Schizosaccharomyces pombe: one gene and its partner. The protein of the gene in region 2 interacts with the protein of the main gene of each other region in a pairwise test. Each region holds a gene or a part of one and is shown on either strand. Other genes may lie near its edges.

Region 1 (5,023 bases), 1.5 Mb from region 2:
CTGGTTAAGGTAAACACTCCACCACAACCAAAGGGGATTATCAATAATAGCATCTAAAATGGATGATACAAATCAATTTATGGTGTCTGTGGCCAAAATAGATGCGGGAATGGCCATCTTATTGACACCTTCATTTCATATTATAGAATTTCCATCCGTGTTGCTGCCGAATGACGCGACTGCAGGCTCTATAATCGATATCTCTGTGCATCACAATAAAGAGGAAGAGATAGCAAGAGAAACTGCATTCGATGATGTTCAAAAAGAAATTTTTGAAACATATGGCCAAAAATTGCCGTCTCCTCCTGTTCTTAAGTTAAAGAATGCTACTCAGACTAGCATTGTATTGGAATGGGATCCTTTACAACTCTCCACTGCGAGACTCAAAAGCCTTTGCTTGTACCGTAATAATGTTCGAGTGCTTAACATATCTAATCCCATGACTACTCACAATGCCAAGCTGAGTGGCTTATCTCTCGATACAGAATACGATTTTTCCCTTGTTTTGGATACGACTGCGGGAACATTTCCCAGCAAACACATTACCATCAAAACGTTAAGAATGATAGATCTCACAGGAATTCAAGTGTGTGTTGGCAACATGGTTCCCAATGAGATGGAGGCTTTACAAAAGTGTATTGAACGCATTCACGCTAGACCAATTCAAACTAGCGTTCGTATCGATACAACTCATTTTATCTGCTCTTCTACTGGGGGTCCTGAGTACGAAAAGGCAAAAGCTGCCAATATCCCTATTTTAGGTTTGGATTATTTGTTGAAATGCGAATCTGAAGGACGTTTGGTGAACGTTAGTGGTTTTTACATCGAAAATCGCGCTTCTTACAATGCTAACGCTTCTATTAATTCTGTAGAAGCTGCGCAAAATGCTGCACCAAATCTCAATGCTACAACCGAACAACCGAAGAATACCGCTGAAGTTGCTCAAGGTGCTGCATCAGCTAAAGCTCCACAGCAAACAACCCAACAGGGAACTCAAAATAGTGCAAATGCTGAGCCATCTAGTTCAGCTTCTGTTCCGGCTGAAGCGCCTGAAACTGAGGCTGAGCAATCAATCGATGTTTCCAGCGACATTGGTTTACGAAGTGATTCTAGTAAGCCCAATGAAGCTCCAACTTCTTCGGAAAACATCAAAGCGGATCAGCCAGAAAATTCTACAAAGCAGGAAAATCCCGAAGAGGATATGCAAATAAAGGATGCTGAGGAACATTCGAATCTGGAAAGTACACCTGCTGCCCAGCAAACTTCCGAAGTTGAAGCTAACAATCATCAAGAAAAACCATCTTCTTTGCCAGCCGTTGAGCAGATTAACGTGAACGAAGAAAACAATACCCCGGAGACTGAAGGACTTGAAGATGAAAAAGAAGAAAATAATACAGCCGCTGAATCTTTAATCAATCAAGAAGAAACTACCTCCGGTGAAGCAGTTACAAAGAGTACTGTTGAATCCTCAGCGAATGAGGAAGAAGCTGAACCTAACGAAATAATTGAAGAGAACGCTGTTAAATCTTTATTGAATCAAGAAGGACCTGCAACTAACGAAGAGGTTGAAAAAAACAATGCTAATTCTGAAAATGCGAATGGCTTGACAGATGAGAAAATAATCGAAGCCCCTTTAGATACTAAGGAAAATTCAGACGATGATAAGCCATCTCCCGCAGCAGCTGAAGATATTGGTACTAACGGTGCAATTGAGGAAATCCCTCAAGTTTCTGAAGTCTTAGAGCCAGAAAAAGCGCATACTACTAACTTGCAACTGAATGCGCTCGATAAAGAAGAAGATCTAAATATTACTACAGTTAAGCAAAGTTCGGAACCTACGGCTGATGACAATCTAATACCCAACAAAGAAGCAGAAATTATACAATCTTCTGACGAGTTTGAAAGTGTAAACATTGATTAATGACATTGATCTCTTGTATTCTGCAGTCTTTTTTTTTTCTTATGTTTATATGTTAACATTCTACGAATATCCTCCACTTTTCCAATCGTTTGACTAAAGGCACATGGGAACCATTTTGAACTGTAATGCTCTGGTATCCTTGCAGTCTTCTAGACCATGGAAGTACATCTAAACTCATTTAGCATTAGTAAATATATAGCTTCGGATTTTTTTTTCGTTCTCTAATAAATTTTTTTTTTTAAATTAAATCAACTAGGTCAAAAATGGGTAATGGGAGGTTTTGAAATTATGTTTCATTATACTGATAGACAGAACTTACAATATCGTAGTTTGAAATTCGTGCTGGCGTCTTCTTCCATATGTATCAATGATTCTTTATTTTGACCTTGGCAAAGCAAAGCGAATTGCCATATATTCGGAAATATCGAGTATAAATATTCTATCCTTTCAATTGAAACTTGAATAAGGCTGTGTTTTAAAAATCTAGCATGCTCACAGTTTGAATCAGTGCATACAGGTGTTTGAGTATAAATCGCGATTTGGGTTAAATATTCTACTTTGTTTTGTTCAAAAGAAATAAGCGTCGTAGTTAATAAATGCATTTTGTTTAAATCAGTATCATTTAGGATGGGTGAAAGGATTTTTTTTTAAAACGCGTCGTTTGTAGAAGAAGAGGTGCATAAAATATGAACACACCACATATAATAATAAGAGGATAGACATTAAAGCCAACAACCTATTAAAAGTGTAAATTTGAAATCAAAAAAGATTAAAAAAAAGAATAGGAATCGACTTCTTTTACACAAAGAAATCCACACCTATTTGATATTAGCTTGGACATCCTCTATTGACGACTGCATTTTCTGATAGCACAAACAAGACTTTTTCAGACTTAAATGAAAATTAAATAAACCAACAGTGGGTTTTTTAGGGAAACCTAAAAATTCAGAGAATCTTAAGCAAGTTCTCTGTTTTGCTTTACATAACAATCTTTAACGCCCACAACGTTGTAAAGATATCACCTATAAAAATAAAAAAATTACGCTTTTGAGGAATAGATGTGCTTTTTTATACATATGTTTATTCAAAATACAGCTCACTGTCTTAATCTGCTAAAGTAGTAGACCTTGTTTACCTATCATCTTTAGAGTGCATTAAGCAGTTGTTAAGCGAAAATTGCGTCATCTATTAGTGAGCCTCTGTTTACAAGTTGACGGCTGTTTATGAGTTTTGAAGAAGGAATCCAAAAATAAATTTGATTTTCACTGAAAATCTATGAAATAAATATGTAGCGACTAATCATACACAACAATTGTATCAAGTTGCCGACATAAAAATACCAGCTGGCTCAACCTTTATAGATACTTTTGAAGAGCTCTTATAAGCATTAATTAATGTTCGAATGATGTAGTTATTGCTTAAAAAAAAGAACCGCCTGGCGTTATTCTCGAGTAAAAGTAAAATCAACATGTGCAACGAAGGAATGGATGCACTGACTGCCGTCAATTTCTCTCAGCCGTCCTCCCAATAAAAATCATTAAGACATGTTATTAAAAACATTAAAAGGCATACCAACGGGTGTTGTATCTTACAAATCACCTCATGGGATCTGTTTTTTGTCAAACTACGGCATTACGCCTTACAAGAAAAAATGTAGAGAGTGAAACGAAACTGAATTGGGATGATTCTTAGCATTTAAAAAAATTGTTTTTGTCTTCGAAGCACAAATTTCACATTTTCTCTTTTTTTTCAAATCCTTCCTGCTTCTTCCTTAGTAAGTTGCGTTACCCGTAGTGTTACCTGCTGTCGGTACAATACATCTCACAGTAAGCATGGTTTCCACTCCACACACTGTACAGTCGCCTGCTTAAAGTAAAGTAGAGGTTGTGTTTTTTGTGTTGTATCGTTCTTCTCTACATCTTTTTGTTTGTATCGGGACAGGAAATAGTTTGGGAAAAATCCCCCACTAAGAACAATTTATCCCACGGACTGTTAATATATGACAACAGGTAATCCTTCGCAAAACATAAGCGTAGCATGACCGAGCAGTCTTCTAAATCTCATCCATCCTTTATGTCTACAGAATATTCGCTTCCAGTCTTTTCTTCACAGTACTCTGATATTGAGAATAAAGATGTATTGAAATCGAATTCTTGGGATCCATATGCCGCTAATGCGCCGATTGCTTTGTCTGAGATCCCTTCATCTTCTAAATCCGGAAAAACAAATGGTTCAAAAGCCGCTGTGGAAAGCGGTTTGGCATCCGGCGCTTTCGGAAACCGTACTGGGAACATGAACCGGAATACTAGCATGAGTGGATACACGTTCGGATCTTCGAATTTCGTTCCCTATAACCTTCTTTCTAACACTCCTTCTTTCACTACTTCTCACTCTTCATCAACAACTTTTGTTCCGCCTGCGACTATGGGCGGTGGATTGAATAATTTGTCATCTCCATCTTCTTCTTTATACTTGCCTGGCTCTGCTTCATACCAAAGAAGTAACTCTAAAAATAGCTCGGCTTCTATCTTACAAATGAATACGACGTTAGATGACATCCCCATACTTTTACGTCGTCCTGGATTGTCTTCGTACACGCCCGGACCTTCTACTTCTCGCCGAAGCATCTCTTCGTCGTCGAATCTTGGAGGTAATCCTGGCTTGATCGCCAATAATCCTTCGGCTTCTAAAAACTTTGCCTTTACTTCAGGTTCTTCGTCGACTAATAATTCTACTACTTCTTCTTCATCAATGGCCAATGGTCTGCAATCTATTTCAAAGCATTCAGCGGCCTTCCCTCTACTTTCTAATGCCACTTCTTTCTTTGGTGAAAATTTAACTCCGTCTTTGGCTGCCTCAACGGCCAGTACGGGCAGTACTGACAGCTCTGGCTCAAATATCGCTAACACACTCATTGCTCCGACACCGACTATTTCTCCTCCTTCGGCTAATACTGTAGGAAATCCGAGTCCTGCTGATACCCCTGGGTTTAACGTGCCTAGTTTGATATCCGATGACCCTAGCGTGTCTTCCTCTCTCTCTTCTTCGGTTGCATCTCTTTCATTGCAAAATAGCAATATTCTTTCGTTCTGTAAGGATCAA
Region 2 (4,838 bases):
GACATGTAAAGCAACATCACTTTCAAAATCCATTTATTATTTAGGCCCAGGTGCGGAAACTCTATTACCCTCCTTCACCCAATGTGGGATTAACATCGATATGCCCGTTGGACTATTGAGTGCAGCCGACTTTCTTACCATTTCAAAAATTATACAAAAATATCCTTTCAAACATCATTTACATTTGGGTACAATAATTGAAGATTCATAAAATTTACAGAAAATTGGGGGAAACAAACGTATTGATTGTTTTTGTTCATACACGCATTTCTTTGCATCCAGTAATTTTGGTTTTTTAAAACCACTCTCTTTTTTATCATTTCTCCACTTCATGTTCTACTCATTGCGTTCTGAGGCCACTGTATTTCATTTATTTGCCTGTGCCATATTCGCTACATCATTAAAGGATTTGTTTGCGTTGAGACACGCGTTCATTCTAATCACCATATTTAAAATAACTTATGCTTGCTTAATCTATTACTAATTTATTCAATTTAAGTGGATAGCTTCCGTTCAGGCTTGTTTTACGTTCTTTTATGTCTCTCATAGTCTCAGGTATCATTTTTTTTTTGGAAAGTGCATAAATGCAATATGGATTTAACTGAGCTATTTTAAATGGAAGTTTACATCTTTCAACTTTTTTAGATGTTAATTAATACAAATACCATAACTTCGAAAAACTATTATAATATTCTTTATTATACCATGCTGTTTATTAAATTGTTTACTGAATTAATGTTTCATTATTATGAGTTGCTTTAGCTTTCAAGGTAGTATTTAATAATCGTTCAGTAGAAAAGCGGATTATTCATTCCCAAACATAAAAAGGTAAATGGAACATACTAGATTAGTTTCTACCCGTATTTGGCATTCCAAAAATAATATGATGAGATCTCATCAGTTTAAAGTGCGCTAGACAATAAACTACCATTAGGCCACGCATATTATTTACTGTTAGCACTGCACACCAAGTAAACCAATTAATTCAAAACATGGGTTCAGTTCGCATTCGCTCTGTCATTAAAGAAGATCTTCCGACCGTTTATCAGTTTATTAAAGAATTGGCAGGTAAGCGCCGTTATGACCAAGAGGACGAAGTCGTGTAGATTCTATTAAAAGGCTAGAGCTTTTGCCAGTATCCCAGACTCACAGGGTCTGATTCTCTTATTGAATTGGAGATTACTCTTAAGCTTTTTATATGGATTTGAGAATATATGGTTTTCGTCAGCAGGGTCGATCTCTACTTCTGTCCGCATGCTATCAGATCAGTTTGTGTTACTATTTAAAAACCGGTTTTAACATTTTGTTTATGAAGAATTTGAAAAATGTGAAGATCAAGTGGAAGCGACAATTCCGAATTTAGAAGTTGCATTTGGATTTATTGACGAGGTTACTCCTGTGGCATATGGAGTATTCATCGAAGAAAATGATCAGGTTCGTAAAAAAAAGTAAACTTGCTTGATCTTTTTTACTAATCTATAATTGCCATCAGCCCGCAGGAATGGCTATATATTTCCTAAATTTTAGGTAGTGAAAAGTTCCGTTTTGAAATATATGAGCTGACGTTGAATAGCACGTGGACTAGCAGAGTGGGGATTTATTTAGTATGTTCTTATCATATTGTCCTTCATAACCTTTTTATTGAAGGATTAACTTTTGATTTCATAGCAAGATTTTAACCATTCAATTTCTTAGGAGGACTTATATGTTCGACCCCAATTCCGTGGAAAAGGATATGGAAGCTACTTACTGTCTTATTTAGCACGAGAATCACTTAGAATTGGTGGCAGACGTCTTGACTGGGTTGTAAGTTGTTTATAACCCATTTCTTTTTTTATACCTTGACTAATACCCTAGGTCCTTGATTGGAACCAGAGAGCCATTGAAGTCTATGAAAAGGCTGGAGCACAAAAAGTTGGAGGATGGAGTATGATGAGAGTCACCGGCGAGAACCTAAAGGCTCTTGCTGATAAACTTCCCGGCAACTTTTAAACTCATACCCAATACTTAACGCTCTAAAAAATTGAAGCATGATATGTTATACCTTTGAAACCTTGAACTGGAAAGAGGAAAATTAATTTTTTATGATTGAAAGATCCTGGATCTTGTAGTTTCGTTTTAAAGCGGTCATTTCAATGTCTTTAGGTTATTTCCCGTTTACCAAAAAATACGATATCAATTTACATCTTACATTTTTTAAAATTAAAAAATAAAGAATCCTTTTTTTTGCAAAGTAAATTATTAGAACTGGTATATTGTTCTAATGTTAATTCCTATAAAACTAATTTGATCGTTTTCCTTTCAATTCATCAAATCGGCTTCTTATTGTGTATTAAAAAATAGAAAGAAAGTATTGGTTAGTATTCTTGAATATCTTTTATTGTGTTTCTTTTTCGAAACGCGTCGCGCGCAATTGTAAACAAACCAACTACCTACAACAGTTTGCCTGTCAATGTTTCAAGGAAAGTGCGCCTTTTTTGATGAAACCGTACCTTCTGCATTAATTGCTTTATGGCGTAAGTTTTAAAGGTTTGATGTGCACTTGTTTGTTGTCGAATGATTTATGGTTCAGTTGTTCTTACTAAAGATAGAATTACACAACGGAGAAGCGAAATTTTTAGCAGAAGGTTATGAAAATTTTGATTATGCATTTTCAATGCATCTAAGAAAGCACGTCCGCTTGCCAAATTACAAATCAGTTCAATGTCGTTCTCCTTGGTGGATTGCGGAGCAAGTAGCTGTTTCCAGAAGGTATTTATTAAATTTACTAAATATTGCATTGATAGTTTATCTTATCATTTACCAAGGCAAGTACTAACCACCATTATTAGCAAAAGTTACGTTTCTGAACCTGTCATTCATTTGAACGTGATGGAACCTTTATATGTTGATCACAGAATACGTTCAGTGTATCTACAGCCTCTGCCATCCACGCTTTCTTTTCTAAACGGTGAATTACCTTGAAATGCTTTGGTGCTGATATGGCGTTGTTCCGATTGTAAATTCTATGCTAATTGTGAAAAATACCTTTCCTTTTTCTATCCTTTATAATTTAATGATCGTTCCTTTAGCTCTCAAAATCGTCAACTGAAGTTGTCACAACCTTCACTTAACCATACGTTACGAATATTAATTTAATGCCTATTTATGCTATTAGCCTAAGATTATTTTCGAATTTTACCTAATTTCTTTATTTATATCCCATAAAGACACTTACGTCTTTTCAATGGACAATTGAACAAGTATACATTGCATAAACATAAAAAACTTACTTCATCTAAGTCCGAGTTTAAAAACTGTTGTTTCCATTTATTATTTCTCATTTACGTTTCGTTTCTTTTTTATTCTCTATTTTTTAATTCTTTTTATAATAACTTTTTTTTTCTGGAATCGCTCACCATTCGGACTAATTTATCTACTTATTTGCATAGGAAACATGAGCAAGTCTACTTTTCATCAAACTTCCCCATCTTTTGTACAATACACTCATGCTACAGATAAACTAAAACCTGCACCTCATGGGATGAATACGCGGGGAAATAACTTATCCTCTATGTCAAAAAATACCGGACAAAGAAAACAGCGTTCCAAATCCATTCATGGACTTCCAGTTGCTCCCGTTTTTTATCCTGATAAAGAGGAATTTCAGGACTCTATCGGTTATATTAATAAGATAGCTCCAATCGGTGAAAAATATGGTATCATAAAAATCGTTCCTCCTGCTGGTTGGAATCCACCGATGCAACTTGACATGAACAAGTTTTCCTTCCGTACTCGGCGGCAGGATTTGCATATGATGGATCTTCGATTTCGTGAAATAGTCTCTTACGATGAACGCGTTTACCGTTTTTTTTGCAATCTGGGCATGGAGCTCCCGGAATCATTTTTTATTTCCAATACGTCTATCGACTTATACAGCTTAATGCGTTGTATTGATTCTCATGCATCTCTAAGTGAGAAGGAATTAAAAGTTCATGTATGGAAAAGGATTTTACGAGAACTTTCAATTCCTTTTACTAATGCATCATTAAAGGAAGCAAGTGACTTGTATTTAAGGTATATTTTTCCATTTGAGGATTTCGTCAGAAAATATCAGACCTCTGAGGATCAATGCTTTGAAACTGATCTCTTCCCTAAATTTTTTACAAAAGACGAACATTCTAATATTAGTATTAAAGATCAGAAGACATCTAAACAATTTAACCCCGAAACTAATGAGTCCGTAGGAATTCTTCAAAACCAAGAATCCAAGAGAAATGAGCAGATTAAACAACAATATATGCCAGCCGATAATTTTGGATCAAATGATAATCACTCACATAATAAAAAGCGACGATTGAGCTCTCTGTCAACGAATAACAACCACTTATGTGACAATTGTCACAAACCTGTCAATTGTGAAGTCGAAGATACGTGTAAAGAAGCGTATTGTACTAAATGTATAATTAATCCATATGAGTTTGGGTTTGAAACAGGGAATTATTATACTTTATCGAACTTTGAAAAATACTGTGACAATTTTAAGAAAAATTATTTTTCTAAATTTAAAGACTCGGAGATAACTGAGGATATTGTTGAAAAAGAGTATTGGAAACTCGTAAAAGACAATAATACAAGCCTTGAAGTGGAATACGGTGCAGATTTATCAACCCTTGATCAGGGCAGCGCCTTCCCTAGTTTAGCCAAAAATCCAGTGAATCCTTACTCTAAGGACACATGGAATTTAAATGTTATAGCATCCACAAATGGTTCTCTATTAAGCTATATAGATAATCCTGTTTCAGGTATAACCTGTCCGTGGCTGTACGTTGGAATGTGTTTTTCAACTTTTTGTTGGC

What was found. Proteins that work in one complex are often made in the same cells at the same time.
Region 1: the proteins of bqt2 (region 2) and bqt1 interact in a two-hybrid assay, tested with the Schizosaccharomyces pombe proteins (2 studies listed by BioGRID).

The regions. Positions count from the first base shown.
Region 1 is NC_003424.3:3,270,177-3,275,199, forward strand, and holds bqt1 (bouquet formation protein Bqt1), read right to left. Parts: upstream 2,524-5,023; coding exon 2,241-2,523; intron 2,192-2,240; exon of another isoform or gene 2,090-2,191; coding exon 1,974-2,089; 3' UTR 1,922-1,973; downstream 1-1,921. Other genes in the region: CHS5-like protein Cfr1, read left to right, coding at 59-1,921; puf4 (RNA-binding protein), read left to right, coding at 3,959-5,023.
Region 2 is NC_003424.3:1,805,396-1,810,233, reverse strand, and holds bqt2 (bouquet formation protein Bqt2), read left to right. Parts: upstream 1-2,452; coding exon 2,453-2,516; exon of another isoform or gene 2,517-2,591; coding exon 2,592-2,751; exon of another isoform or gene 2,752-2,831; coding exon 2,832-2,964; downstream 2,965-4,838. Other genes in the region: RNA polymerase-specificity factor Mtf1, read left to right, coding at 1-211; SPOM_SPAC1002.07C (N-acetyltransferase Ats1), read left to right, coding at 993-1,068, 1,316-1,434, 1,493-1,527, 1,574-1,604, 1,696-1,806, 1,858-1,992; histone demethylase Jmj2, read left to right, coding at 3,437-4,838. UniProt on the Schizosaccharomyces pombe protein: Involved in chromosome segregation. During meiotic prophase, connects telomeres to the spindle pole body by forming a bridge between the telomere protein rap1 and the spindle pole body protein sad1.